4 linked regions of the Lepisosteus oculatus genome follow. The protein of the gene in region 4 purifies or fractionates together with the protein of the main gene of each other region. This does not show direct contact. Links are inferred from orthologs where the notes say so. Each region holds a gene or a part of one and is shown on either strand. Other genes may lie near its edges. The genes, in order: chd4b, wdr5, mrgbp and histone H2A.Z.

Region 1 (7,621 bases), on a different chromosome or scaffold from region 4:
ATGTACTGGGGGAGGGGGGGTTGGAGGAGATAACTTCAAGTCAAAGTACATCACAATAGGTGTATTAAGTGTATTGTATATTAAGCAATTTCAAGTGAAAAAAGCCAGAATAAGTGAGCTAGCTTTAGATCAGAAATCAACTCCAGACAAAAGTGGACTTTTATTAAGAGGGGACTACAAGTATCATAGGCATACAAATCCATAGTCAGAATACTAGACTGATTTTAAATGTACTTTTTTAAAGAATGTATCATGAACTGAGCCGACCTCTGTTACAGCTCTACCAATAACTAAACCTGCTACTTTATTTCACGTCTGATAAATCCGATTAGACCTAAATCTAAACCTAAAATAAAAACTAAGTTACCGTGCGAACATATAAAAATAAACTTAATAAAACATGACCTATATTTTCTCTTTCTGTAATGCGTACCCTCAAAACAAGTTAAATTTAAGTTCTCAAGGTACTACCCAGTAAAAAGAAATTTCCCTTTATGATTTTTTTTTTAAAAACAGACTTCCGTAGGAGTCAGGCTTCTGTCGGCGACAGGAAATAAGCAGGCCGCGGTCCCCAGCCTGCTTGCTGGCACACCGGCTTTCACGTAATAAATACGGAGAGAAGACCCAACTGCCCAACTAGTGCTACAAAAACTGTTCGAGTATGTTAGAATAGTTACTCTAAACGTATTTTCTCAATCCTCACACCCTATTCGCTCATGATATGCAAGATTTTGTTCTTAGTTGTTTCACTTTAAGACGAGATCCACAGCGAGCGAAACAGGAACTCTTGACAATTACGTAACGCTTCCCAGATATTAACATTTTATTTCAAAGACTTTTTTTTTTAATCCTTGACTTACGCAGAAAGGATACTTAAAATCCACAAAATCGGATAAGGTGGTTTAAGAGCAAATTTTCCATGTATCCTTCTTCCGGTGTGCTCACACACACTGCTGACTACATAAAGGGGGATTACAAAATAAAACGATAAAGTTCTTACATCAGTTTTGGGCAATTCGGTATTTTCAGGCCGATTACATTTTTGCAAAAATCAGGAAATTCATTAAAAAAAACTCTGTTCCCTGTTAACCGACTCCCACACGTGAAGACACAGTAGGCCCCTAGTCTAAAAAATGCCGGTTCAATTGCAAACCGGCATTTCCTATTTACAGTGCAATTCTTCAGCCGTAACAACAAACAAGTACAAATTATCACTGCAAACACACGCACACATATATAAACACACAAACACGAGCGAGACTATAAAATAACTAGCCCAGGAAAATCTGAACGAGATGTTTTAATGCATCCGGGTGGCATTTTGTTCCATCACTCAATGTACAAACTTTTGCGATCCAGTTTTCTCTCTTTTTTTTAAAAAAAAAGACAGTAAAACGCACATCCCACGATAAAAGAACGTATTAAAACGCAGACCTAAAAAAACAAATACCGATGACAAACGCAGACACGCAGGCCCCCGTCACCCACTCACCAACCCCCCCAAAAAGGAAATTAAAGAACGAGACGCTCCTGTCCTCGGTTAAAATGTTTGAAGCGGTAACATAACTCCCAAAATAGACGATCGAGTCTAAAAAAGACTAGTCTAGTGCACTATCTTTAAATACTCTGTAAAGACAGCTCCATTTCACGTGTGCTGCGTTAGGTTAGACATGCGAGTACAGCCAAAATATTTCAGTTACCTTGCAAAAGCGAGCGGTCGTCCAAGCTTCCGAAATCCTGTCCCTCGTCTTCACTCCCGGACATTTTGTGCTAAATGGTTTTCCTATAAATATATCTGAAAGTGAGTTTGTGTGTGTGTGTATGTGTGTGTGTGTCGGTACCGGGGAGGGAATTATCGAGGGAGGGGGTGGTAATGGTTGGAGGGGGTTGGAGGGAGCCGACGAGCCGATGATGAAAAAGCCCTTCTTTGTTATTTTACGAGAAAAAGAGTCACACAGTGCATAAACCCGGTCTTCGTAGAAATTTCTCCGCTACCGGCAATACCAGCGAGAAGGACCGAGTTTGTATCCCAAACTAGAATCGATGCTCCTCACACACACACTACTGAAACCAGGGGGGGGGGGCGCCGCCAAACTCAACGTTAAAAGGATATAAACTCTCCGGAAAAGAAAAACTGTCGATGTTTTCAGTTAGATGTCTAAACTGCAATACTAGTACTATACCGGCTTCTGGAAAGTGGCCGGCAGCGAAGTAAAGTGAGCTGGGAGTTGCATACAAAATAATAAGTATTCCGGATAAAAGGGTCAAAGTTGGCGTTCAGCGGTCTCCTCTTGAATGTCCCCCCCTTTATACAAAGAAGACAACCGACGTGTCGGAGTAGAAATGTCCGACTCAGGAGGGTTGTATAATCCCGAGTTGTGCCAGGTTACGAGTAACCCCAAACAAAAAGAGCGATTACACGAGGGGAGTTCAACAACGATTTCCTTGCCGGCTCAGGAGCGAAGACAGCTTCTTCGAAGAGGCGACTGATTTCCGTGGGTATTTCGGGCACGACAAAATGTCTGGTCCAGTCCGGCCGCACAGTCATCCGCACACACTCGCCCTCTCCCTCTCACACACACAAAGAGACCGGGGCAAACCGAAAAGCGAGAGAGAGGCAGGCATCCCATAATAATAATCCTGTACACCCCCCCCCCCCCACTCTATAATACACACTAACACTCCACACGCAGTTACCCCAGCAACGGACAGACCATAATACTCCATCCCATGTATATACACACGCACGCAAGACACCCCCTGGGCTCTTCCGGCCCCTAGCAACCGCCGTTGCCGTGGAGACGGTCGCGCCCCCCCCCTTCCGTGCCGACGGCCATCCCATAATACCCGGGCTCCACTTCGCGGATCACCCATCCCATAATATGCATATCTCCAAAAAATTATCAGTCGCCTGGTCGCCCAGGCAACCCAGGCCACAAATGACAGGCCATAATACTCTCCTACTGTACAATGTGTGCACACGCACTGTACATGCTCGGCACACACCAGCTACACAGGCCGATTCAGACGGCACACACGTGTGCACGCTGCTCTCATGCAGACTGTGCGCACACACACGGAGTTTGCACAGCCTTACAGTCTGCTGGTTTCCATAGAGACCCCTGACATTGTGAGGTCCCAGCGACAGCCTGACAGGGTGTCAGTCGGTGTGTACAGAGCACTGTCAGTGTGCTGTAGAGCTGTGCTCATGTCCCCATACCTGCTCATCGCAAAACAGAGGTCTCACATGTTCAGATAATCTCCACCTCCAAACACAGGCACAGTCAAAACATCCAGTGTCCCCATGACATAAACAGTACAAGCCTGAGTTAGGCCTCACAAGAGACACAAGGCCTAAAATCTACCACTCTGCAGTGCTGCTGTGTTTGAGTCTGCTCCCTTTCTGTGCTTGTGGGCATGTGGCATTACCTACTCTTTGTGCCCGGGCTGCTTAATTTCATATGGCAGTACTGTGTAATAATAACAACAACACAGACTAGACTCCATTCCTCTCTCTCTTTGTTGCTATAGAGATTTTTTTACAGGGGGGGTGTCATCCCATAATGACCAATCAGGAGAGAGAAAAGTGAGGGGGAGGGTTGGTTGTCATGGAAGCAACCCCCCCCCCTCATTACCTTCCCCCCTTTAGATATCCCATAATACTAATAGTAACATCCAGACCCAACTACACCCCATAATAATAAACCATAGGCATGGGTGCTAAAGTGTGTGTGTACTTGAGGGGGACATGTTAGGATGACTGATGTGCTACCCGGTTGCCATGGAAGCTGACTGACAGACCATAATTAGCACCTGACAACCTCCCACCTCACTGGACAGCCCATAATATTCACCCTGACAGCTGAAAATCCTGAGAGAGCATCGCCAGGGGATACAGGGAGGATAGTGGCTAAGGAGACTACAGCAGACAGATGGACCAACAGATGCAAAGCCACAGACTGACATCAAGAAACACAGACAGGCAGACAGAGAGACAGGCACAAGAAGAGGTTAATTCCACCTTCCCTGCTCTAACCTTCACAGAGGGGCTTATACGCACCTGGTGTACTGATATAAACAGGCCGAGTGAAACACCCACAGGACATGCATGAACACATAGAAACAGAGGCGGACAGGCTGAGGAACACACAGGCAGAAAACCAGAAACAGACAGTCGCACGCAGACATTGTTTCAGACAATTACATGCAAATTCTCTGCCAAAAATAGCTCAAAACACAAATTAAATTCAGGCACAGCATTAGGCAAAGCTATTATTGTTTGATACTGTACACTCTGCATACTGTAACAGAGCAGAACAGTACTGTTACGCAGTGAGTACAGTACAGCACAGCACTGGGAATGCATAATGTAGCAATAAAGTTATTTCACAATCGCCTTTGCTTACAGCTCGAAAAAGTGTGATAGACAGTGGTGGAATACAGCATTTTCAGCAATGCGAAACCCGTAAGATCACATTAGACCACGGTTGGCCAGTGGGTAAACCTGCCATCCCGGGACCCGAGACCTGTGCAGGAGAAGATACTTTATTGTCCACTACGGTGGTGGTGTCTCGCAGAGCCGTGGGATGTGGAAGCTGGCCTGCAGTGGGCCAACGCACTGACACGCTCCCAGAATGGGCGATGCCCTGACCGTCGCTCACTCCTTCCCCAGCCGAGTGACACTCCCGACTGCGGAGTGTTTTTTTTTGTGCTGTACAATACTTTCTTTTTATTTCTTTCAATCCCTGGCCCCATTCGACCCGGCGTGCACGTGCCTCGTCCAGGAATGTCCCAGGAATGTTCTGTGAGTCTAGGTGCTCCGTGAACACGTGTGGTACGCCCGATCCCCCATCACCAGGATCGACGGGGTTCTGGGGTGCCTTCCGTGAAACCTGCAATCAGAATGTTCTGGATTCGGGGGAGGTGCTGCACCTGACAACAGCGAGCAGCTGGAGCGGCGCTCGCACTGCGCGCGGCCGCAGACGAGCAGAGAGAGGCCCGAAGCAGTGCGAACTCTTTCTCAGGATGCGTTCCTCTAATGACCCTGGGGGGCCTCTCTTCCCGCCCTTCAAATTCTCCCTCTCAACCTCCCCCACCTCCCCCTCCACCCCCCCCCCGCCAACCCTCCTCGGCCAGCAGCCTGTGGGACACAGAGGCTGCCCGCACACATCCCATAATTTCCCAGCTCCCCCTCCCCCCTCCCTCCAGCTCCGCGCACAGCCCATAATAGTCCGGCCCTGCCCTCCCTCTCCCCCCCCCCCCCACACATCCCATAATAACCGGTCTGCTCACACACCACCCACACCAACACAGTTCCAGAGAGAGCGTCTGTGTGTGTGTATACAGTGTGGGTCTGTGTCTGTACGGCTAAGCAAACAGACACCGTTTTCCCCAAAGCGCACTGCTCTCTGCGGTCCGACGGCCACTGGCGCAGACAGGCAGAAAGTCAGCAGCCTCTCTGGGAGACAGGGCAGAATGTGCAGAGCTGCGCTGGTGGCTGCAGAAGCTGTCCACATTGACGTCACACGCTAAAGAGCTCTGACCAGTCCACATCTGAGCGGACGCCGGCTCTCCTGGACCCCGATCCCCATCCAGGAAATCTCCCGGTAATCCGGTCCAGGGGGGGCACCTTTCATCCAGAGACTCTCAGGGCCCCCGGCTGCAGGTCCGCAGACTGGGAATGTGGCCGGCGTCCAGTGGGGCAAGGGAACGGTGATCACCCGGAGCCGTTGGAATTTCAAAAGCACCTTCTACCCTCCCCACCCCCGAGGGAGTGGAAAATGGGACATTTTCACAGCTTTCGAAAGAACCTCAAGAGCTTGCGGGCCCGAGCTCTCCCCTGCCGGGTCCTGCGCTTGGTGCCGCTGTCCCGCTGTCCCGCTGCCTCTGCGGCGGAGTCTGAGCAGGCGGCCCGTCTGTCAGGCTGTCCTGTCTTCCCGCTGCTCCGCCACCTGAGCTCAAAGAAAACTCACCCCCATCCTACAGGGCTGCACTGTTGGTTTTAATATCATAATAATAATAATAATAATAATAATAATAATAATAATAATAATAAGTACAAGTAGGGAGCTGCGTCACCATGCGTAGACTGCAAAGGAACAGGTAACAGGTTTACTCCAGGCTGAAAAGAGAAGAAAGGAAACACAATGTTTCGTCTGTGGGGCCTTCTTCCAGTGTATTATTATAATAATAATAATAAAACACAGAATTGGTGTCCCATTAATGGCGTATCCTTCTTTTTGCCCATGACTTGCTCATTGAGGCTCCAGCTCCCTGTAATTCTGGATAAAGCAGTTCAGAGGCTGTTGAATAAGAATAAGAATAAGAACTGTTAGGGAGGGTTCTACAAATATCTAATATATCTGACCGAATTAAAAAATGTTTGAAATAATAATACATTAATAATAATAATAATATACGCGGGGCTATACAATGGGTTTAAAGTAAATAATCATCATGCAGGGTTAAAAAGTTTGTTCAATATAATAAAACAATGAGAGAAATCACAGCAGGCTATGCTGTTGGCTGACAGGGTAAAAACTATGCAGAACCGGGCAGGTCAGGGATCTGAGCCGTTTCTGTACAGGGGAGGGCTGTGCTTTCCTCTGCTGGAGGGTGACATCAGCACTGCACACTGGAACGCCGGTCTCCCACTACTGCTACTGCTGCGGCTCACACACACTCACGCGCGCGCGCACGCACACACACACACACTCTCGCGCGTGCACACCGCATCCCATAATAAGCCCGCTCTGCTGGGTGTGACCAGACAAAGGCCATCCCATAATAAGCCAGGACCCAAACGCATCCCATAATAGTTGGAGCGCTGCTAAGTGACTGATGGAGTCAAAAGAGGAACGTGGGGGTGTGTGCGTCACACAATTATGCTAAGTATGAAAATGATGCAGCAATTCTTACACTACATGTATTTTTACTGTAGAGGTGTATAAAGTTTCTCTGTCTCTCCTCTTCGAACAGTGATAGTTACTTCCTCTCACCTGTCTTTCTGAGATTCTACATTCATGTCAATCTATTGAGTTGTCTGTGAGACTGTTAATGGTCCAGGATGGTACTGTACATCAGTCGGTGTGTCTGTCTGTCCCATTCTGTCTATCTTCTTGTCTATATCTGCCTCTGTTCCCACATTGTCTCTCCATTCATCGCTTTCTGTCTGAACCTTTGAGATTCTGTCCGTCTCTCTTTGCTCAGAATGTAAGGAAGCTTGACAGTGAGTGGTAAGTGTGCCCATCTGTCCCATCTGGTAATAGCCTTATCTGATCCAAGAGCTCATGCTCTTATTGGCTTCAGCCCCATGTTTGTTCCACACCCCCACAACCCTTTGTGTAAAGTCCAGTCCTCTGCACCTTTTTTGTAATGCAATGCCCCTGTGTTTCCACTTTGTGTGCCCCTCCGGTTGGTGTTTTTCGCTGTTGATTCCTCTGGTTTCACTTTGGCAGTGCCTTTGAGCACTTTTTTGATACTGTTTGAATCAGCTCACCTCCGTTCGAAGCACAGAAAGATTCGGATCTTCTTGCCTGTCAGTGTAGGACACTCCTTCAATTCCCGGAATGTACCCAGTTGTGGTTCTGCAGGAATTTCTCTCCCTCTCTGTCTCTGTTCT
Region 2 (7,975 bases), on a different chromosome or scaffold from region 4:
ATTTATTACTTTTCCCCTCAGCAGCTCCAACAGCGTTTTGCTTGCAGTCGTCCTACCAGGTCTTCTTTTATTTCAGCAAAGCAGCATAATAGATGAGGTCCTACGAGTCTCCTGCTCATGCGCCGCAAAACAAAGGCATCACGGGAGTCGTCGTTCACCGCTCCAGCTTTCACTCTGAAATCGGGATGTTTTGAAAATCAAGGACTACAGCTTCCAACATGCAGTTGGCTGGTTAGCGGTGGTGTTTCTTGGCCCACTCAACAAAGCTTAGCGTCGTACTCTAGTTTGAGAAGAAGGAAAGATAGATTTTTTATTCTGCTTGAATAGTTTTTTTACGCAGATTACGCTGTATTGTAATCGGATGGTGTTATTGATTTTCGAGTCAAACGATCTGGTTGCTTCCTTCAAAGACATCGAGTTTATTTTGAAACTCGTGCTGAGCACCCTTACTCTCCTTCAGTCATTACCAAAACTAGTTTTGTGTAATTGCGAAGTTCGTATTCTCTGAGCTGTCAGTACTACAGGAAAGATCACTTCTGGACTCTAACAGTGGAATCGATAAAGTATTTAATATTGCAGTCATGGGATGCTGGATGTATATTTTTAATCGTGGAAAATGTTGTAATTGTTATGTTAATTTACCTTTTAACGTTAATCTTTTCAGGTATAAAACGATTTTTAAAGCATGGAGGAGAACGAGAAAAACGTGTTTGTGTGAGAACATAGTTTTCAGTTTATCAAAGTATTGACAGAATCTGTAGGATTTTTAAATGAACAATGAGTTTTCACCTCCTATACAAAAACATTGATGCAGAATGGCTTGTTAAGTGTTACAGTAATATGTTAACATTTTTGATATACCATGTGTTCAGCAAACAAAAAATATATATTACTCTAAGTGAAACTGTTGGTTAACAGCTTTAGTCCAAATGGGAAGCCTGACAGAAAAACTGGCTTAATAGACATTGGCTTCCAAATAGCAGATGGTAGACTGCTTGCAGTGTGACCACCTGTTCTTCATCTTGCTTGATGTGATTCTCGGTTCTTCATTTCTCCTTTTAAGTGGGTAATTTAAAAATAATTACCAATTGGCTTCTTGGACCAGTTGGGCTTGAAGAGGCATGAGACATCTTTTTACAGCCAATAAATCTACATGGTACCATACTTAGAATGCTCACAAAATTGGAGTCTGGTGTTCATATTTGCATTCCATGATGCATTAAACTTATTAACTCCAGTACTTTTGTACCCGTATAAGTAGTTTGTGTATTGAAAAAAAACGATATTCCAATGTTCCAATATTCCCTTGTTTAATTTTGCAATGCCTCTCAGTATATAGTGGTTCTATGTGCAGTGTTTACTGTCAGGGGACAAAATTAAAATATTTTTCTGTGTTCTTGCTCGTATTACTGAAAATTCACAGTTAAAATTATTTTTTATCATAAGAATATAAGAAAGGTTACAAACATGAAGGGTGGCTTGGTGGTGCCGTGTCTAGCATTGCTGCTTTGCAGTGCTTCATTCAGTGTTGCTCCAGATCGACAGAGCACCAATGTATGTTTTCCGCATGTTTACTCTGGGTAGGTTCCCACTGGGTGCTCTGGTTTTTTCCCACTATTCCAAAACATGCTAGGTTAACTGGCTTCTGATAAAGTTGGCCCTGCTGTCTGGACTGGCAACCAGTCTATGGTGTACTTTGCCTTGCACGTTGGTTGTTTGAGATCGGCTTTCCCCGACCCTGAATTGGATGAAGGGGTTAGAAAATGGATGGGTGGCTACAAACAAGAGGTCTGTCTAGCCCATTTGGTAAAGAGTAAATAATTGAACAAGAGACCTTATTCAGATTTTGCTTGAGAAAGAGCAAAGGTTCTGGCTTCAAAAACCTTTTGTTTTGGACACTCTGCAATATGGGCCTGTCCCATCGGCCAATCTGCATGTATTCAGCAATACTTCATACTTCATCTTCTATAATAATATTTGATTCCCTTCTTGGTTTTTGCATTGCCTTGAAGATAATGAACAGATTCGATTGAAGTATTCAGAATGGTCCAAGTTACTGACTTCCTCAGGGAAACATAAATAGGAGGAGGAGACAGGATGGTATACATAGAACTGAGAACTATGTATATCAAACAAAACAGGACTGATTGTGCCTTTCTTCAAAAATCTGCAGGACAAGGTCCTCATATCAATCACCAACCAACAAACAAACATTCAAGATGACTTTGTCTCCATTCAAATATTTCTTGTGTTCTGTGTTTTTTCCAATGTAGTCTGTTCTCAAACAGTGGCGGTTTATGATTTCAGCACTTTCCAGCTCATAAAGTTTCAATTGGTCATCAGCAGTCTACCACAAAATATAGTGGTCTGTACAGGTACTGTCAATAATGAGTCATGCAGGGTCCTTCAATGTATATAAAGGGAGAGGAGGTAAGATAATAGCAAAGCTATTGGATTTTTTTTTACGAGAGGAAAAGAGGCACAAGCAAGAAACATTGTTTCTTATAGCTGTTCTTTATGGTGTAATCTAATCTTGCTAAATAATATTTAGTTTGTCTTGGTCAATGGTTTTGGGTTAAGAAATTTAGATTTAAAATGTGTGCTGCTTTAGGTATTCAGATGACAAAGCGAACGGTCATAACATTGGCCAGTGATGTATACCTAATTTGACAAAGATTTAATACTGTGTCAAGATTATCATAGAGCCAATACTCGAAGAACCACACACCCAAAGGACAAGGATTCCTTCAAAAGGAGTCCAGATTAAGTCATTAATAACTGTATATGGTACATATATTTCAGAACATTTAAACAGTCAACATAAAACTAGTCTAAGTCTTATTTGAAATGTGTAAAACAAATAGAACATCTCTAATAGGTCCTTATAGCTAAACTATATCTGATAAAACTGCCAGAATTTGTTGCATGTAGTGCACTCAGAGGAGCTGTAGGAACTAAGAGCAACATGAGATGGAGAAACTGGTAAGGCCTTCATTCAGAGTCGCTCCAGATCAACAGAGCACCAATGTAGAGAAGTTGTCAGAGAGCAGGTGGTCCCAGACTGTGAAAGATTAAAGAATACTACATTCCTACCCAATACTCCTACCTAACATGACGTTGCCAAATAAAATGATTCCACTTGAGGATCTGGAAACAGGCAGGGAAGTTGAGTCTTTGAAACTCAAGGCTGTAGTTCCTAGAGTTCTGTCATCACAGACATATCAGCCATGACAATTCCAGTCAGCGTCAGGAAAAATACAAGAAAAAGAGAAGGGTTGATTGTTGGAGACTGTGTTCTCATGAACACTGCAAATGAAACCTCACATAAACAGCAGTGTGCTATAACACTAATTTCAAGGCTACCAGATGGGCATCTAGCAAGGACAGGTGAGCACCCAGTGGCTATTACTCATATTGAGACAGATGACATTAGCATAAGTAGCACAATTCTTCTATGGATCAAATTGAAATAGAATTTCTTAACTAGTCATGTCCAATACCATAATCATGTTATGTTTTTGAAACATTTACTCTTTGATGGGCTTTTTGGCAGATCTGTAGGTTTCCTGAATCTCACTGTATAATCTCCCAATAGACAATACTGTATATAGCCCATAGGTAATCACTTTGACAAATATCAATAAAGTTAAGGACAAAACTGTGGGCAGCACAATGGCACAATAGCTAGTTTTGCTGCCTTGTAGCACTGGGGCCTGGGTTAAAATCCTGGGGTGCTAACTATGTGGAGTTTGTATGTTCTCGCTGTGTTTGTGTGGGTTTCCTCTGGGTGTTCTGGTTTGTGTGTGTCTGGCCTGCAAATGGTCTCCTGCAACCCCGTGAAGAAAATAGATGTGTGAAATTCTCATCTTTTTTTCCCATAAACCATGATTTAAATAGATAGAAGAGCAGGTGAGTAACAGGATCAACACACTTTATTTCTTCAAACTAGTAGCCTCATCTAATACATCACGTTAGATTTTAGGAAAGTATCGTTGCAGGTTTGAGCACACAATATTAGAATACACAAAACGTGCCATATCATTCCCCTGACAAACTATACTGGAGTGTGCAGTTTACACTTTTTTGAGCTTCAAATCTATTTTTAATGCATGTTTCTCATGTATAATGTATGTATTCATACAGAAACAGCAGATATAGATTTGGCACAAAAATGTACTCAAGGAGTCACCAAGATGAAATCGTTGACCATTTGTAAAATGTGTTTTAAGATATGAATTGGCAAGTTCACTTTTTCGCATGATAAGGATATATATAAGTAAAGTGCAAACTGTCTCAAATTAAATGGTACTGGAGCTCAGCTCCAGTTCAAATTAAGCGTAGAGGATTATATCTGAATGAAAAGGGTACAGATTGTTTTGATTCATAGTAATTTACATTACAATTGCAAGGGGGAGAATTTAAAGAAGAAAAAAAGATACATGGAAAGTAAAGATAAACAACTTGAGTGTTTGTACCTAAATGCAAGGAGTGTTAGGAGAAAAATAAAGAAAACAGAAGCTAAAACATTAGCAGGTGACAACAATGTTACAGGTACCAGAAAGAAGAATTCTGGTGAAGAATTAAAACACAAGAAGATACAGGATAAATGAAAGAGTTGGGGAGGTAATATTATGGTAATAATATACATCATGAATGTTCAGGCACAGGAATTAATCAAAAGTCTCAAAACAAATGTGGGTCAGACATAATGTTATTCAGAGGGAACAGTGCTAAGAGTTTGTCACATACAACCAAAATAAGCTTTCAATTAATAATATAGTCTTATGTAATGAAATCAGGAATGTGTATAAAAAGAAAGAAGTGCAAGATCCTACAACTTCACACATGGGTTATTTTCCCAGCTTTCTCGTCCTTCACTAAATTTACCTCGGCAAAGTTACTCGCCACTTTTGTCCCTTCCTGTTTGCCGTAAATATAGTACATGTTCATGCGTGCGGACATGCGCACTGTGCGTCTGTCGCCACATTCCCCGCCTGAGCTCTGAAGCCAACAAGCTGCAGCTTCTTCATTGCAACAGAAAGAGAAGAAGGACAATATTCCAGTTATTGTTCAAAAGGGAGGGTTCGCAAGGCGAACCAAGACGTCGATTTGGTGACAAAACGAACGGTGACCGTAAAGACGACCTTTGAGAGGCGAGTAGGTGCGCATTTTTTATTGTTTGAATGGAAGGAGTAGAATATGCATGTGCAAAGAAAGGAAAAAAAATCCTGAATGATTTGGTTTTAACGCAGACTGGGGGGATGGGTTGCAGACGTGGAAATGCAGTGGTCTGAGATTTTTAGACGCGAAGCTAAAATCGCAGTGTAAAAATGTGCTCGAACGGTGTGATCAAGGAAGCATGTCTGGTTTTGAGTGATGCTTTGGCGTTTTCTGTGCCAGGCCGCAGTAACTGATTAAGTAGTTTAACCTATAATCTTAGTTTTTTTAAGACTTCAGTAGTTGCTTGTGAGTAAGAGAAGCCTTATGTGTTTTTGATTAGTGGACTTTTTTATATTAAAAAAAAACAGAACGGAGTACCCGGTTTATAGCCTACGGTAGTCCTGTTGTTGTAGATGGGCAGGTAAATTATGAATTACGACGACTCTTACTGTCGTACTCCAGTACTGCAGCCTGTCGCCTGAATGCCAATTTGAAGTGAACAGATTTAAGGTTAGTTGCTACATTAGGTAACAATTCTGTTCTGAAGGTTCCAATTCGTGCCATTTAAGGTGTTGTTTTAAAGGATTTCACCTACCTTTCTGCTGAAGTCCCTCCTAAGGTAAACTTTAACCGTATATAGATTCCGGTTTGGTGAAATCTTCACCCGTAACGTTTTGATTTGATCACGCTTCATACAGGTGGCATTCACAAAAAAGATGAATGTCAAATAATGTAGTTTAGGTACGTAGATTTATATACTGTATTATTTATGTGAAGACATGTCATTCATGCTCATTTTTATCTCTTCCGCATAACAGCGAAGCTGAAACGTTCCTTAGTGTATTAGCTTCTTATTTATGTTGTGAAATACAACAAGCAGGATCAGTAACCTTAAATTGACCTGCTAGCCTTATTTAGGTCTCAGTACCATAAGCATTACAACCTTGGTTCAGTTTGTTTTTAAACCAACCAGCTTAATGACTGATGGCCATTGATTTCTGTGACTTACAGAAAATAATTAACCATATTTATCATCATCAGTTATCATGTCCAGTTGAAAGGCCTGGCCCCACAAAAGATTTTAAATCTATTTCATAGCATCTTTCTGTATTAGAACTTTGCAGTGTACAAAATGTACAAATGTTACAACAGACCTTTAAAATGGAATACAATTTTATAAAGAACATTCAATGCTTGAATTAAAAATATCTGTATAAGACATATTAATTTTGAAGATTCATGTTTTGGAAACAAAAATGTTTTGAAAATGAAGCTGTTTCAATTACAAGTAATGGGCAAATGAAATAAGAATTATGTGTCTTTTGGTGTGTGTTGTTGGTTTTGGTGTATGTTTTTTTTTTACTAAATGGGCGCAAACAACAAGCTTCTATTATTTTTAGTTGTGATCGTCTGGCTGCTCTGGCACCTATTCCGAAGATCTGATTCACTTGCTCAGTAACCATGGCAACAGAGGAGAAGAAACCAGAAACTGAAGCCACTAAAACACAGTCTGCTTCATCAGCATCTGCTAGTCAGAGCAAGGTAGGAGGGGCCAGAATGCATACTCTTTTTTGGCGGGTGGGAGTTGTCAGTTTCATTTGAATTGATGAGTCTGTTTTGACTGTAAATATGTATTTAACTCTACTTATTTTCCCCTCCATTTTAGATAAGTATAGATTTGTTGTACAGAGGTTAAATGATTCCTTAAAATGACCCCCTTTGTAAGCATTCTAAATGTATTGAGTTGATTTTTTAATTTCCTCAGTGTTGGATCTTGTAGATTAACTGCAATTTGAATTTCAGGTCAGCAGCATGTCCAAATATTGCATTAACTCATTTGAAATATTGTAAACTTATTTTACACAGCAAATGTAAGATTTGATCCTATATATTATTCACACCCTTTGGATTTCAAGTAAATTAGTATCTTTGCTATTAATATACTAAAGTGTAAATGATTTAGGAATGTAGTTAGCTGTTTACATAGCTTGCTGGTGAATAGTCTCTTTGCCATAGACATTTTAATGAGCTAAAGAGTATAAATGTTAATTTTTACTTGCTTACAGGAAAATGTCTATTGTTGTGACACAGTTGTGGTCAGAAATTCCACAAATTATTATTGTATGCTCAATTTCTGTAGAAAGTTTGTTTCAGAGAAGCATATTTTTCATATGATCTAAAATCTATAAGAAATTCTGCAAAAACAGTAACGTTACAAGTTATAATTATTATTTTAGCCTTTTTATTACAGATTAAAATCATATTCTGTATCGTGACAGCAGTAGTCCTTTGATTTGATCCATGTATGTTTAAATTCATTTATATACTGATGTCAGCTGTTGTTCAAGGAAGAAGCTTATTGCCTTGTGTGCAGTTTGATCAGTGTGGCAAAAGTATTTGTTTGGATGCAGTGTTTTATAGCGATTTTTTTAGAAATTTAGAATTGCCAGTTTTGCTATACTTGCAGTTTTGGTTATTCCAAATTGTGTGTTGTTTTACATCTGGGCTCACCCCTACTTACCTTGCCACTGCACAAGGGAGAATGATGAAGTATAAGCTGAGTCCTCTGACCTGTCTGAGTAAAAAAAAAACATTAAAAACGTTTTTTTTGAATATGTCACAGGCACACCGCCCTCTACTCTTTAGGCTCAGTGCCGATTGGAAGAGAGGCACCTTGACCAAAGCTTGACAGCAAGCACCCGAGTGCCTGCAGGGGTCACGGAGAACTGAGAGCCCTGACCGATTTACTCTCTGCTTACACTTAGCAATGCTTAGCCCCTGTTCACAGCCAGCCTATGACGAGACTCAGGCTTAA
Region 3 (7,464 bases), on a different chromosome or scaffold from region 4:
CAGTTTAACATCTCATCCGAAAAATGGCACCCACTACAGTATAGTGTCCCCGCCACTATACTGGGGCATTAGGACTCACATAAACCACAGCGTGGGTGCCCCCTGCTGGCCCCACAAACACCTCTTCCAGCATCAACCATAGCTTCCCAGGAGGTCTCCCATCCAGGTACTGACCAGGCTCAACTCTGCTTTGCTTCAGCAAGTAGCCAGTTGAGAGCATCAGGGTGATATGGCTGCTGGCTTTTACAGTGCTATGTCTTCCAAATAAATAAAATCTTAGTCAATTTCACTCCTACTTGTTTAAGTCTCTATTGATGTTTACGACTGGTTAAAGTCAGAACCTGAATGTTTGATCTATGGACACTGGGGTAAGCTTAATGAGCTCCACATGGAAGTTGTCTTTCTTTTGAATATTTTGTTGTCCCCTGTATTGCACTGAAAGAAAGTCATGTTATCCAATATTATGGCATATTATCCAATATAAAATCAATTATCTGTATCACTGTCAAGTAGATATTTCTCATGGGAAATCTAAACATATCCAAGAAGCTGGCAGGAAGTTTTAACAGTCAAGAAAAGAAAACTGAAGTCAATGCACTTTCCTCTGGGAATGAGAAAGTTCAGGGACATTTCAGACTTTTCATTCTGAAAAATAAACCTTCCATGCTCTATGTTACTTGGTAACTCTCCAGTTTGGAAGGATTTCTTCTCTTGGAAAGCAAGCTAGACTAAATATAGACTAACCTTTCTGCACATCTGACAAACACATTAAAAACAGTGAGACAAATTAACACTTCCCCAGCTGTGAAACTGCATCAGATGTTAATCTAAGCATTTAATAGATTTTACCACAGAACCTGTAAGTGTTAAACAGATTTTAAATCACTGACAAATATGTCCTATTGCCAATCTAAAGCAACCTTTTCTACATTTAAAAATGACTTCTTCAGTCTCGGGGGTGAGTCAACATTTCAGTGACATACTTATTATCCAGATACCTTTCTGTGAACGCTGAATAGATTTCCTGGAAGGAACTGAACCAGTGATTGTGTCATAAAATGCCTTAATCAGTTAGTGTGATGAAATACACTCAACGGCCAAAATATTAGGAACCCCGTTTCATAAAATGGTGGAAATTTACAATCACCAACAGCTGTGTGACCAGGATGTGTCATGTGTTGAACAAATCTTTCACAGACTAGAAACACAATCTTTTCAGGGTTCTGTAGGGGGATTATCTTCAGTTTATGGTGTGTGAGATTGAACATGAACTCCTCACTGGTGTCCACCTGTACTCAATCAAAAAGTTGAAATGAGAGACATGAGATTGCCTGGGAAGGTGATGGATGTCTGTCTCATATTAAAGCATTCACACATTGCCTGGATCTCAGGGAGTTTCTTTCCTTATTTTGTCCAGTGAATTCTTAAGAGTAAAGGCTCACAATTGTGTACCACACTTTGACATAATGCATTCTGGCTCAGGTTCCCCTACTTCCAATCTGTAGTCTTCTATTTAACAAGGAATTAAGGCAAGTGAAAATTGTGTTTACAGCAGAATCGTTTCTTGAGTTTGTGAAAGGATGGCTTAGCCCGCATGGCTTAGGGCCATAGGACAGGGAGGCTGCGAGCTCCATGGTTGGAGAAAAAGGCAACCAAGGGGTAGCTGCAACTGTGGGAGTTGGGTGGAGGAATGCAAAACAAGCGAGGAAGAGTGTGGTGCATATGGGAATCTGAGAAATTACATCAGGATAAGTTGTGGGAAGCAGCAGTTGAGCTTTATTTGTCTTGCTGCCTTCAAACCTCCCACACTTTTGTTAGAACTCCATTAAAATTTCACCTCACTGCTGCAATCTGTTTTTGACCAGCAAGGACATACTGTACAGTAGTATCCTTAACTGTCTCATTGACAAAGAATGAAACCTCTCCCCTCTTCTGATAAACTATGGCCATGCTGCATAATCAGAAGAGGAGTTGTTACATATAGCTCCCTCCCAAAAGCCTTTAAGGTACTGAGTCAGAAGTGTTTTTTTTAGAGCATTTTTTTATACTTATAAGTCTAGCTCCGTGAAGTTGGCCCATCTAAGAAACAACATCCGAGAAGAAACACGGGAAAGTCCACCGTCTGACACCTGCGGACCGCGGCAATATTGGAAACATATATATTTATTTTCACGTAACAGAAGTGAACATATATCAGAATTATTGAATGAACTGTCATTATCCATGTGTTTGTATTTACAGGGGTCTTATGCGCAAACACGAAGCGGTGTGTATGTTTGTGTTTCCGGCCAGTCCTCGGTGTAGAATACAGCGTGAGGACACACCTGCCCTCTGAAGACACAGGTGTGGGTGCCTGTGTTAGATCCTCAGGTGAAGTCGAGTCTTCTGCAGTCTGCAATGTAATGACCCAGACATGTTTGCTTGTCCTGCTACATGAAGTTGCCCACCCGCCCGTCGAACAGCACAAACGACGAAACTCACCGCAATCGTTAATGCTGCGGTTTGTGTCGCTGTAAGTAGCGTTTCTGCTGCTTTCGTTTCCGACATATAGCGCCTTGTTTTTCGGGTATTCGAGTGACTACCTACAAGGAAGTTTACAGGTACCAACAAACTCGGTACTTGCCTGATTGTGATTAAGGCAATTTGTGAGGGCAATTTGTTTTCCGAATCTGTCTAGTCGGGTGGGGTGGATGTTTCAATGTATTTGAATATAGCGCCTTCTTTTCCTGGCTGTGATGTACAAAACAGCAAAGTCACGACCACCAGATATTTCAGTTTTGATCAGTTGACCCCAGACTTTGCAGCCTTTACCCGAATAAACAGTCATACATTTAGGAAGGAGTTACTATGTTAGTTCATTGGGTTAGGTGTTTTCTTTTATTTTTTTTACCACGTTCTCGAAAATGTATTTCTTGTGTACTCCTTTCATTGGTGAAGAGACACCAGTTTCCAAATTACCGCTGGTACAACACGAGAGTCCATATTCACATTTTTAGGTATTAGTTTCAAGATCGATATAATTTAACAATAAAAAAACCAAATTGAAAGCACGAGCATAATAATATAATGATCATAGACTTTACATTTCTATTCATTTTTGAAGTACAAAGCAGAAGGTGTTTCCCCTACCTTACGATGAAAATTGTTCAGATACCATGTATTCATTACAGAAAGCAGCGGAGACAGTTATATTGCAAATAAAAAAAATATTTATTTCGACGAGTACGGGACATTGTGAATCAATAAAGACGTTTTTAAAAATAAGCCGATGTAGTTATTTTACAAATAAGTAAAGCATTTAAAAAACAGATTCTCATTGACAGTAAACAAGCAGATCCAGCAGGCGCTACTAGCCTGAACAGCTCTCAGACCCGTGATTGGCTAAAACTCCCGAACAGTCCGGGCAGCGATTGGGTGAAGAGTGAGAATCGACAATCTGATTGGGTAAAGAGCCACAGCGGAAGTTCTGTGTGTACCGTGTGTGGTGTATGAGCACGCTGGATATACAGTAACACATCTATTGGTTTCCAATTACTGATCAATCTAACAGAGTCGCACTGAGGTCAAAACTGAATAGCAGACAACGAATGTCAAGGCATCCACTGCGCGTTCACGACTCCAATAGCATGTCACGATAGGAGCGCAAATCAGGATCACATCGCGATACCCATTGCGACTGCCGCATCACTGTCATGGCACCACTGTCGCAACATTAAGTCCATATATCGCGATACGACAAACCCCAGCAAAAATGCCCCGCCCTATGTTGCGACATGAAGCCCTTATATCGCGATATGACATACCCTGGCAAAAAGGCCCCGCTCCCATATCGCGACATGAAGCCCTAATATCGCGATATGAGATACACTGGCAAAAAGGCCCCGCCCCCATATCGCGACATGAAGCCCTTATATCGCGATATGACATACCCCGGCAAAAAGGCCCCATCCCCATGTCGCGACATGAAGCCCCTATATCGCGATATGACATACCTCGGCCAAAAGGCCCCGCCCCCATATCGCGACATGAAGCCACTGTATCGCGATATGACATACCCGGCAAAAAGGCCCCGCTCCCATATCGCGACATGAAGCCCTTATGTTGCGATATACCCTGACAGAATATGCTGACCCAGAATCTACTATTGAAAATCTCCTTGATTATGTTTTTTTCTTTCTTTCTAGTGTTATTTTGATAATAATAATAATCATCATAATCATAATCATAATAATATGACAATTTATGATAAATATAATATTTATGAATAATTTAGCATAATAATTGTTATTATAGAATTTTGAAAGTAATTTGTTATAAAAATAATCATAATTAACTATAACAATAATATAAACATATAGCGATAAAAACGGATTTTTTTTAAAAAAAGGTCTTAGCATAAAATAGGCCAAACCGAGATTGCAGCTCCTTCTTCATGTTGTTAGAGGGCGCTATTTTACTCTTTTTTGCTGAGCACGACCTTTTCCTGCTAGAAGATTCAGAAAAAATGGGAGAAGCAGAGGCCGTCCCAGCTGATGAAAAACAGGCAGATTCGGGGTCTAGTCCGGTGGAGGAGTCGGTAATATGGAGCCAAGAAGTGGAGGTCTGCCTTTTTCATGCTATGCTGGGCCACAAACCCGTAGGTAAGACTGCAAATGATTATGAACTACGACAAATGATGCCGCCACTTTTAAGGCCTATGAATCCTCGGTGTTGAGTAGTTAGGTCACCGACTGAGGAGCCGTTGCCGCCAGCCACGCTAACTAGGGTACTATTGAGGAAGAAAAGGAAGATATTGGAAACTGAAAATCCTACCTCAAATAGTGAATTTGGCAACTGCTGCTCAAATACAGTACAAGATGGAGAAAACCTATGCCATAGTAAAAACACACATTCAGATATCGTATTTTGTTAGGGTAGATGGGCGTTCTGTTTGTCCTCCTTGGGACCGTTTTTACAACTTGAGAGACCTTGCAAATATCTTAAAATCGACTAATGGTATCGCACAATACATCTACATTGATGTTACTGTTAATCGTTTATACTGTACATAATTTTTAAATGTGATCAATATTAATCTCGTAATTGTTTTTTTATACGACGAGACAATTCGTAGTAAACAACAGAGCCGTCTCCCCCTGGTGTACAAGCCAGGAGACGAAGACTAAAGCTTCTGTATAGCTCTGTTATATATCCAATATCACCTCACTAGAGACCAACTCATATCACATGGCCGTTGAATTGTTTTAGTTATCAGCAGATGTAAGAACATCATGGATAACGCTGCCTGTATAATGGAACTGTTTATATTTATAGTTCGGTACGCCAGGACCTTTAGGATTTATTCATTTGCCAATGTTTGAATGAACTGTGTCGAGCAGCTTAGTTTTTTTCCCATTTAACTTTTTGGTTTGTTGGCATTGAACAGATGTACTGTATATCGTGCTTTGTACAGTTACCCCACGAGGTGAAATAATAGTGTAAAAGAAAGTAATACCGCAATATAAAATTATGTCATCATCAGAAAAAGAATGGAAGATGCTTCATTAAAGACAACCGGAAGCTTCTAGAATTTAGGATATATTTGATCTTTTTTTTTCCATGTTACCAGATGATTATCCATCTGTTATGTTATTCTAAAAAGAGAGTTGTCCATAAGCAGCTTTTCCGCTCAAAACAGCTGCCACTTGTGGAGGTAGGGCGCTTGAGCAGATTTTCATTCACTCATCACCTGCCTCCTCCCAGGGCTGACTGATCAAATTCTGAATCATGAAAAGGTGGGTGCAGCAGACCTACAGGGGCCAACAAGAATATCTAGTCTGTAGCATTGGGTTGCGTCCTCTCTCTTAGGGCAAACCAAGAGATGGTGTGGACTACAAGGTTACTGACCAGGCCTGTATAGTAAAACCTATTAATGTTAAAAAAGGACCAGTCTAGTCCAATGTGGGATTGTGTTTAAGGGTTTTAATTCTTATTTAAACCTTACCATTTTGTTGTGTGTGTATAAATGTATTTTGTCTTAGGAGTTAATCGTCATTTCCACATGATCTGCATTCGGGATAAATTTAGCCAGAATATTGGACGGCAGGTTTCCTCGAAAGTGATTTGGGATCATCTGGGGACAATGTACGACATGCAAGCTCTGGTTAGTATGCAGTGGTTATTGGTAGTTGCATCCTGTTTATTTGTGGCACTACTGAAATTGCCTGTGTAGTCAGTTTGTGGGTGTTTGCTTCTGTGTCTGCTTTGTATGCCCTGTGATGGACTGCTATCTCATCCAGGGTGTATTTCGCCTTGAGCTCATTGTATGTGGGGTTAGGCTCCAGCTCCTCCCGAAACCCTTAAGTAGATAAGCAGATATTATGTTTAATGTGTTGCTAAGATTAGATCATTTTTACTACAATGACTAAGAGCTAATATAAACATAAAAAGGTGTTTTAGGTGCTACTAGCTGGAAATAATGTATGCAGCAATTGTGTCCATGTCTGCAGCAGTGTGAAAGATAGATTCTCAGTTTACTAAAACTAAAAGTTTTCCTCTTGTCCTATTAAGACTGTAGAAATATGTATTATTGTATATATTAAATATTGAAACTTAAAATATTCAAATATATTAATTATTAAATATAATATAAATGTTGTAATTTTTTGTTTCTGTTGTCTGCAGCATGAATCCGAAATCTTGCCTTTCCCAAACTCGGAAAAAAGTTTTGTTCTGCCAGAGGAAATTATTCAAGAAGTCAAAGAAGGTAAGACCGACTCACGCCTCACTACAAAAACATTCCTGACTGATTGTTCACAACAATCCTTGACATTCCTGATTTGTAAATATTGATTGCTTCTTTAGTCATATTTAAATGTTAGTAGACATTTTCAGTTTTTTGTAGTTGATGAGACGTTTGTCTCTAGCACTTTCTGCAGTGTCATACAATCTGAAAAATATTATGCCATGAGTGAAAACATATCATTTCTGTTCATTACTAGAATATGTTCTAAGTTTAGTTCTTTGCTGGCATGCAGGAAAACTGGTGGTCGAAGAAGAAGTCAAGGATGAAATCAAAGAAGAACGAGACCCACCTGCAACCATGGAAGAAGGTTCTCGCTTAATATGTTTATTTGGTTGGCTTGTTTTCATTTTCTAGTTAGATGTTGGCTGTGCTATTGCAGCACTTTGGCACCTTCTGCTGACAGAAACTGGTGTCCCTCATTCTGGTCATTTATCTCTCATTTTTAAGGTCTGAGACCCACTTTGGCTGGCCAGGATTGTGAGAGGTATGGACAGAAGAATGCTTTCACTCTGTTCCAACAATCCAATATGACCTCACTAGAGACCAACTCATATCACATGGCCGTTGAATTGTTTCAGTTACCACAAGGTGTACAAACATCATGGATTTCTCCCTTTGAAACAGGCAAATCCTTATTTATATATTGAGAGGACATTAAAAGCATGTCTTGGGGACGGATG
Region 4 (7,851 bases):
GTCAGACATTTAACAGGTGAAAACAGAATTTAAACAATTGCAGAACATTAACTTTAAAAGTGACCTGAGCTTTTTATGCATTTCTTTGTAAGGAGTTGATGCATACTTAAGTCAATATTACCACAGACCATTTAACCAAACATTAGGACAAGATAGTCCAAATATTTCACAGGATTTTTATAGTAAGCTTTCTTTGTAAACACCCCATTGAGAAACTGGTGTCAATTTAGTCAATACATACAGCCTACCATTATTCAAATACCAGTGTATTTAATATTTCAAGACTCCTGTACAGCTGCTCAGATAATCTGATCTCCCATGGTGGACTGTGCAAGTCAAAACCATAGGAAAAAAAAACATTTTAGGTAGGTTTCTCAGCTAGAAACAGGAACTAGTGTGGTTACACACAAAACTGATCAACTGATAATTCTTATGCAGGTGGATATTTGGAGATACAATATCTTAAACATGTGCTGCCAAGTACTTCAAACTACTTAATATACTGTACTTCAAAACATGCATTTCCAAATTCACCAAAATCATAACGCTTTATAGCATTGGAAACAAAGCAGTCAATACTTTAACTTTATTCCAGGACAAAACTTCAATCATATAAAGCGGATTTTAAATTTAACAGAACAAATCAGTTCCTGGATCACACATTAAATAGGAAACAATACTGCTGCAGTACCTCAACCTAGTATTAAAATAAATCAGGCTTCTTTGAAGCCAATGTATTTAAAATACCTCAGAAATGAGAATATGCAAAGCTCAAAACAATTTAAAAAGTCTAATACAAAGCGGAACAAGTCTCATGCTCTTTAAGAACAACCCTTTAAACCATTAGTCCTGAGATAGCTTGGCCAGCGTCAGCTTGAATTATACAGTTTTCTGCTGTCCCTTCTTCCCAATCAGCGACTTGTGGATGTGAGGGATAACACCTGTGGACAAAATTCAATTTCAGAGTGTTAAGGCCTGCACTTTTCCAGGTCAGATTAAAGGGCTTGTGCATCAGTGAAAACTGGTGTCATTTTCTAAAGACCTCAAAATCAAGGTGGACAGAAGTCTTCCCATTTCTCCTCTCCAAAACACAGATGTTTTGAAGAGCAAACATGTTATAAATAGGGAACATCCCCTGGTATTTGAGAATGTCAAAGGACATTAAAAAAAAACTATTTATAGAGCACCTTTCATTCAAATAGCAGCAAAAGTGCTTTCCAAACCAAGCATAAAAAAAAATCTTAAAATGAAGAAACCTACTTTCAGTTGTAAAGGAAAACTATAATCAGTAAAGCAACAAATGTCAACTTATGCTTGAAAAGGAAAAATAGAAATGAGGAAAGTCATAATAAAATGAGAATAAAAGAAATAGAAAGAACAAAGAACCATTTTAACTAAAAGCTAAATTAAAAATATATTTTCAAACGCTTTTTAAAACAATGTACCAAGCTTGACTGCCTAATAAAACGTTGTAGGGAGTTCCATCATTTAGAAGCATAAAAACAAAAAGCAGTCTCTCCACTCCAAGTATTTCACTTGTGGTATTGGCAGATCTCAGGTCACGTATAGGACATAAGCAAAGAAAAGCCAAGTAACCAGATTAAAATTAGTTTAGAACCCCCCCAAATCAATTATGGTTTCAATTTCACACAGGCGATGTTATACTACAGAAATATTTTTTTTTTTAAAAAAGCAGAGAGTTCTGCCTTGCTTATTGTTTATGAACCGTTTAAGTGCTCCCGTCTACCAAACGTGGCACATCTGCACAAATGAAGAGGAGGGCTAGCACAGTACAAAAGTACTCCTTACCACCACCCGCGATGGTCGCCTTAATGAGCGAGTCCAACTCCTCGTCCCCTCGAATCGCCAGCTGCAAGTGACGCGGAGTGATGCGCTTTACTTTCAGGTCTTTAGACGCATTTCCTGCCAGCTCCAGAACCTGGGGGGGGACAGAAAGGGTGTCTTTATCGCCAGTGTCCCCGCTGCCTTCCCGCCTCTGCTGCAGCCATGGGGAGGGGGACCACCAGCAATGCAGTCCCCGCACATGTCAAGGAGCCTGGCACTTCTGAACGGATAGAGAAGGGGAGTAGGAAGCAGCGTGGATTCGACATAAAGCAATTAATACACCTTCACTGTAGCTCCTGCCCTACAGAGGTTTTGCCCGTAAGCAGCCAACACACCTCGGCGGTCAGGTACTCCAGAATGGCCGCGCTGTACACCGCTGCGGTGGCCCCCACACGCCCGTGGCTCGTGGTCCTGGATTTCAGATGCCGGTGAATACGACCCACTGGAAACTACCAATGAGAAGGAAAACAAGCAGAAAAGGCGTTAGTCTCTCCCGATTAGGAAGATATTTGCCCCCCACTTAAGGTACAGTTTTGATATGGTTACACAACAAAATATGAACTACAGCGTGTCTTTGAGAAACTTGTACCCCTCACTTCCGCAACATCGCGATCCACATGAATCGGATCCCTCCCCACACACACCACACACACACGCTTTTCACTAGTTCAACACCACATATCCACAAGCTTTGCCGGCTTCCCCCACTGCAGAGGAAGAGACGCGATACAGACCTGCAGCCCGGCTCTCTGCGAGCGCGAAACAGCCTTTGTCTTGGTCTTTCCGGAGTCCTTCCCTGCTTTCCCTCCAGCCTGAAAAGCACATTGTAGCAGATCAGTACTGCTCAAAGATAGGAAATGCAAGGACAAAACAAAAACGAAGGCTAATCAGATTAACTTCAATCGCCACGAGCCAAGAGACAAGCGTATGTGCAAAACAGACGCCAACTGCGTCCTGGTGCGCCACGATGCAACTTGTCTTCAGTAATTCCACCCCAATTTACCTACATTGGGAATACACGGTGCAAGATCGAGGTCTTCTAACACAGTTACGAAAACCGCTTACCATTTTATTCCAGTCAGTAACTACAATGACAAATTATGCGCGCTGCTACCACCACTCTCCTCTCTCTGCCTGATTTAAACTCATATCCCGCCTTCTCTCTGTTATATGCAAGCTAAAGTACAACATCCGGGACCTGGAACTCCATTACGAGCCAATTACATTTCTAGATAATTAGAGGGTGCCTCGTCAGTCCAACCAATCACCAATGTCTTTTTGTTCAAAAGGGCAGAATACGGTTATTACGCGCCTATTCTTTTTAGCGGAATTGTGGGAAATGTAGTTCTTCTCCGGTGTATTTGTATTTCAAGTTAACGTTTTAATGTTTAAGTTTATTTTTGGTCCTTGTTTCTAACTATGCAAATTGACATTGTAAATGTACAGTATTTTCATAAATTTTAATCCACTTGTCTATGTTATATTGCTGCTGCATACTTTCAAGGAGCCCAGGAGCCCAGTATCAAAACCTAAGAAGTACGTTGCTAAATATGGCAGCAGTACAAATACATGTTATATTATTAGCTACATGTACTCTAAAATATTTTATTTTTTCGCTGGTAAAGAATAGGTTTAGTAGTGATTTCAGCAGGGTCAGGGCAGTTTCAATTGGAATGCTGTTAACAAGCGTTGCCACGCTCAGGACTTGACAGTAATGTAAAGTTATTAAATGTTTTCCTAGTTGCAGAGGTGTGTAATTGCAAAATATCTATAAAATAAGAAAGCAACACGTGTGATATCTGTATCGAATAATAAATACACGTTACTGTAAGGTAATTTAAATTAAACTACATTTAATATTTGAACTGTGCTTGGTTTAGGGGAATTCTGAGCTAGAAAATGCAGATGTAAACTGACGTGACTCAAATCACATTGTCTGGTATACAGTATATTCAATAAATTACACAAAACTGAGCTATTTTTACACATCCAATGTTATTACTTGGTAGTTTGTATATTTTGTTATTAAGCTCCACAGTGTTTAATATTATTTAGCAAAAAAGGTGCACTTGACTGGATAATGTCTGTTCTTAGATCTACCTTTTGAATTGCCTTCTGTATGCATATTGAACAGGAGAACAGGAAACACTTGTTAAGATACTTAATTTAGAATAATCTAACCTTTATTATAACATTTATACTGATGTAAGATGGATTAAGTGTCTTAATGGATATGAATAATAAAATTGGTGGTGAAAAGGTGCTTGATTAGAAGGAAAATGCTGTCATTTTCAGATGTCATTGGTTTGTATCCATGGACAGGATATAGGAAGGTCCTTATAAAAGAAATACATTTGTATATTCAAAATCCACATATTTGTATCATTATAAAGAACATTATCCCCCATGTAGTCTGATAGTCTGAAATATTACAAGTGTAACATTATTATGAATCAAATGAGAAATTCATGTTTCAAGTTATGACCTTAGACCTCATGAACTATCGAGCATATATTATATGCCAAGAGCTTGACATTCTTGGAAACTAAAACAAAGAATTATCTTTGACAATACTATATGTAATTTCCTTATAAAGAAAGTGAAAAAAAGACAATAAAACTCATTTTGAGTATTGAGGAATGTGTGGGAAGGCCCCATGTCCCAACACAGAGATTTGCTTTTTTCATGTCATTTCATATTCATTATTAGTAATATTGCTGCAACAGCCATGACTAAAAATTCCTTCCAGTTTGTTTGGATCTCTATTTAAGTCATTGATATCATAAGTTACATCCTCAGAGAATGATTTTATTTAGTTCAAGTAGGTAGCTGCGTCAGCATGCATAGGCTGCAAAGGGAGTCAAGGTTTATTCCATGTTGAAAAGAGAGGAAAAGAAACACAATGTGGAGCCTTCTTCAGGTGACCTCGAAATTTTTGTAGAAGACTAGGAGTGTTGCTTGGGTGGTGACAGAGTCAAAGGAAAAAGTGTTAAATTTCAGACAAAATCATTTAGGAATGATATCATAACAATGAAATCTGTACAGAAAGCTCCACAGTTGTGTTTCTCCTCTTCTCTTTTCAGCATTGAATAAACCTTTACTTGTTCTTCTGAATTATTTTTTAGTTTTGCTTGGACTTTGGCCTATTTAAACACATCTGCACATATTTCCAGTTTTAATGAATCTTTATTTTACAAATTATCATCATTATTTGATTAATAGACGTCCTTACCACGGGCATCTTACCATGTGCTAATGTGTGGTTATGAAGACAATAGCCACTGACTGAAAGTTAGTATGCAAATAAGACCATTGACGTGATAACGACTCCTCATCCTGGGAGAGACAGGAGGTGGACAATGGTGTTGTTGAAAAAAAAAGATGCCTTGAGCACCTACTGTATTCTCCATTTTATCTTGCTCAGTGACAACAGCTAACCACCCAAGAAAACCTGTTTGAGACCATCCAGTAGTTTTTATTAAAAGAAAATCAAATTTGTATAAAATATTCTAATCAAAGTTATTCTATGGACAGTACTGTTCCTTAGTGTCGTGGGAGCCCATCTACCACCAAGCTGAAACCCTGACTTCCTTCAAGAAATGGCCTGATGAAATCCTCAAGTAGCTACTAGCAGCCAAATGAGTTACAGTAGGTGAATCAGATGACATGCCCTGATCTGTTGCAAGTGTTTCCATTGTGATGATCCGTAGGAAAATATGTAGAAGAGGTTTGCAATTATATATAGATGTAATAAAAAACAAAAATGTTCATGACAAATTCAGCATTAACTTTAGAATCAAATATAACTTTAAGGAGTAGGAATGTACAAGAGAGTTTTTGTTATTTTTTTGTGATACCAGTTACAGTACATGTGTGTGCTGCAGGATAATCAGTTTAACCTCTGAGCAGAAAGGTTGCAAAAGAGGAAAAGATATAATGTATCACCATTTAAGGGGATAGTATACTATTATTAGGCTTGAACCCATATGTTTTAGAAACACAACTGCATCACATGCATGCTTTCTAATAATCAGCATGGAGGATCCAATTAATTTTCCTGTGTTTAAAACTGGTTTTGTGAATTTAGTTCACCTTAGAAACCTGCATAGAATTGCCACATGGGAACAACAACAATAATAATAATATAATAAAATAATTATTTCAAAATAAAATATTATATTAGATATTAACTGATTTAGCTGCAGCATATCCTGAAATGATCTAAGTCTAATTATTAGATTTAAATGTAAATTAATAGATTTAATAAAGCTTTGTAAGTTTTCTATTTTTTCAATTGGATACAATTGCAGTACATGCAATGTATTGCACCTTGCAATGTAAAATGTGCATTAGGAGTTATTTATTTATATTCACTTTCTTTTTTAGACTGATGATACACGTATTTATTCACTTGTGCCAGCATTTTGTGGTTTCTCCACCTCCCACTTTTCCTGTTTTCCATAAAGCCAACATTGTCTGAGGAGGAATGTGGCCCAGAACTGTGCCTTTTCCAGATCTTCTGGCATTCATTCCTTGACATAATTATTTATTTAATTAATCTTAGTCCATAATCTTCAAGAAGTGGGGCTCTGTGCTCTTAGATAAGGAAACAGACCAGCTTCCTCTATCATTGTGCTCCATTCTTCCTAACATAATGCATAGGCCTTCCACCTGGTCTCATAAAGCAGACATACTTGAGGCAGGATAAGATTTTGCAATTGCACCTAAACTGTAAGAAGTTAATGTGTAGTATAAGTGGTAATCCTTTGCTAATTCGACATATATAACCACACTTTGAACTATACCTTGCATTGTACCGTATTGCATATTTGAACATGTTGCAAGTTGTAACAAGAGCTGTATAAGGTTACTTGTTGCACTTGTCTATCTATAGCTACAGTACAGTCAACAATTTGATTATGACCTTGATTGTACAAACTGTGATTTTCACTCTTACTGTAGAACTTTAACTGAAACTGAAGAACTTAGGAGGGAAATGTAAAGGGAATTCCATTTCTGGGGGGGGGGGCAATATATATAGGCCCATAGTACTGTTTTTCATTAATAATGTGCTGTGGTACTAAATTTTCTTATATACTCATGTCATTATAAATTTCCTGAGTCACAAGGGACTGATGAAAAAAATAAATAAAGCACATAAATGCTATTATTTATATGTATACATTATGTATAATAAATATTTAAAGTAATATAAATATTATGACAGTATATGTAATTAGGATTATTCATGTTTCTTTAATGACATTTTTTTAAAAGGTATATTTAAGGCATTTTATTGTGGATTATGCATACTATGGGCACAATTTGAATTTCAAAATCTAAAGACCCCCTGCTCCATACACAAGGAAAACAAAGAAAAATAGATTGACACCTGAAAAAAAGCTCAATCCACAAAAAATAAAAACATAAAAATTCAAAAAAATTAAGCAAATGAACTTCTTAAAATTGACACATAACAAGGGTTTTGTAGCAAAAATATATTTTTTTCTTCTTTTGTTCAGTGTGGCAATACCTTACTTTTAAAATTATATCCTTTAAAATTAGAGACATGTCAAAGTTACTATTTCAAAACATGTTATGTTCCATAAAAAATCTGGTTATGCATATACAGTACATAAAACTGTTCAGACAAGTGTACAGTCTTCAGTGCATGTCAGCTAAAAAAGCGTTGTGTTTATTAAGATAAAATTTACTTTAGGATTATTTTAGGGGCAATTTTAATGCAAAAATTATTGTTTGTTTTTTTACCAAATGATAGCCATGTTGTTCTTGCAAAGAGTAGGAATTGATTTGACCTCAGGCTTGGCTTTCTCTGCACTGAATTGTGGGATTAACACTGTAATAATAATAATAATAATAATAATAATAATAATAATAATAATAATAAAATTGCTTACACTTATATAGCGCTTTTCTGGACACTCCACTCAAAGCTCTTTGCAGGTAATGGGGACTCCCATCCACCACCACCAATGTGCGGCCCCA

What was found.
Region 1: the proteins of histone H2A.Z (region 4) and chd4b purify together in Homo sapiens (affinity purification with mass spectrometry; 3 studies listed by BioGRID and IntAct, with this or other methods). This does not show direct contact. The link is inferred for Lepisosteus oculatus from reciprocal best matches to the Homo sapiens genes H2AZ1 and CHD4.
Region 2: the proteins of histone H2A.Z (region 4) and wdr5 purify together in Homo sapiens (affinity purification with mass spectrometry; 3 studies listed by BioGRID and IntAct, with this or other methods). This does not show direct contact. The link is inferred for Lepisosteus oculatus from reciprocal best matches to the Homo sapiens genes H2AZ1 and WDR5.
Region 3: the proteins of histone H2A.Z (region 4) and mrgbp purify together in Homo sapiens (affinity purification with mass spectrometry; 4 studies listed by BioGRID and IntAct, with this or other methods). This does not show direct contact. The link is inferred for Lepisosteus oculatus from reciprocal best matches to the Homo sapiens genes H2AZ1 and MRGBP.

Annotation. Positions count from the first base shown.
Region 1 is NC_090718.1:3,158,147-3,165,767, forward strand, and holds the start of chd4b (chromodomain-helicase-DNA-binding protein 4), read right to left. Parts: upstream 3,007-7,621; 5' UTR 1,765-3,006; coding exon 1,701-1,764; intron 1-1,700. UniProt on the Homo sapiens protein: ATP-dependent chromatin-remodeling factor that binds and distorts nucleosomal DNA. Acts as a component of the histone deacetylase NuRD complex which participates in the remodeling of chromatin.
Region 2 is NC_090719.1:7,051,075-7,059,049, reverse strand, and holds the start of wdr5 (WD repeat-containing protein 5), read left to right. Parts: upstream 1-4,962; 5' UTR 4,963-5,157; exon of another isoform or gene 5,158-5,161; intron 5,162-6,560; 5' UTR 6,561-6,621; coding exon 6,622-6,702; intron 6,703-7,975.
Region 3 is NC_090711.1:7,361,849-7,369,312, reverse strand, and holds the start of mrgbp (MRG/MORF4L-binding protein), read left to right. Parts: upstream 1-4,458; 5' UTR 4,459-4,504; coding exon 4,505-4,640; intron 4,641-6,020; coding exon 6,021-6,142; intron 6,143-6,663; coding exon 6,664-6,745; intron 6,746-7,016; coding exon 7,017-7,091; intron 7,092-7,231; coding exon of another isoform or gene 7,232-7,268; intron 7,269-7,464.
Region 4 is NC_090696.1:32,276,659-32,284,509, forward strand, and holds the start of histone H2A.Z, read right to left. Parts: upstream 3,020-7,851; 5' UTR 2,914-3,019; coding exon 2,911-2,913; intron 2,658-2,910; coding exon 2,580-2,657; intron 2,295-2,579; coding exon 2,181-2,294; intron 1,940-2,180; coding exon 1,810-1,939; intron 942-1,809; coding exon 880-941; 3' UTR 1-879. UniProt on the Homo sapiens protein: Variant histone H2A which replaces conventional H2A in a subset of nucleosomes. Nucleosomes wrap and compact DNA into chromatin, limiting DNA accessibility to the cellular machineries which require DNA as a template.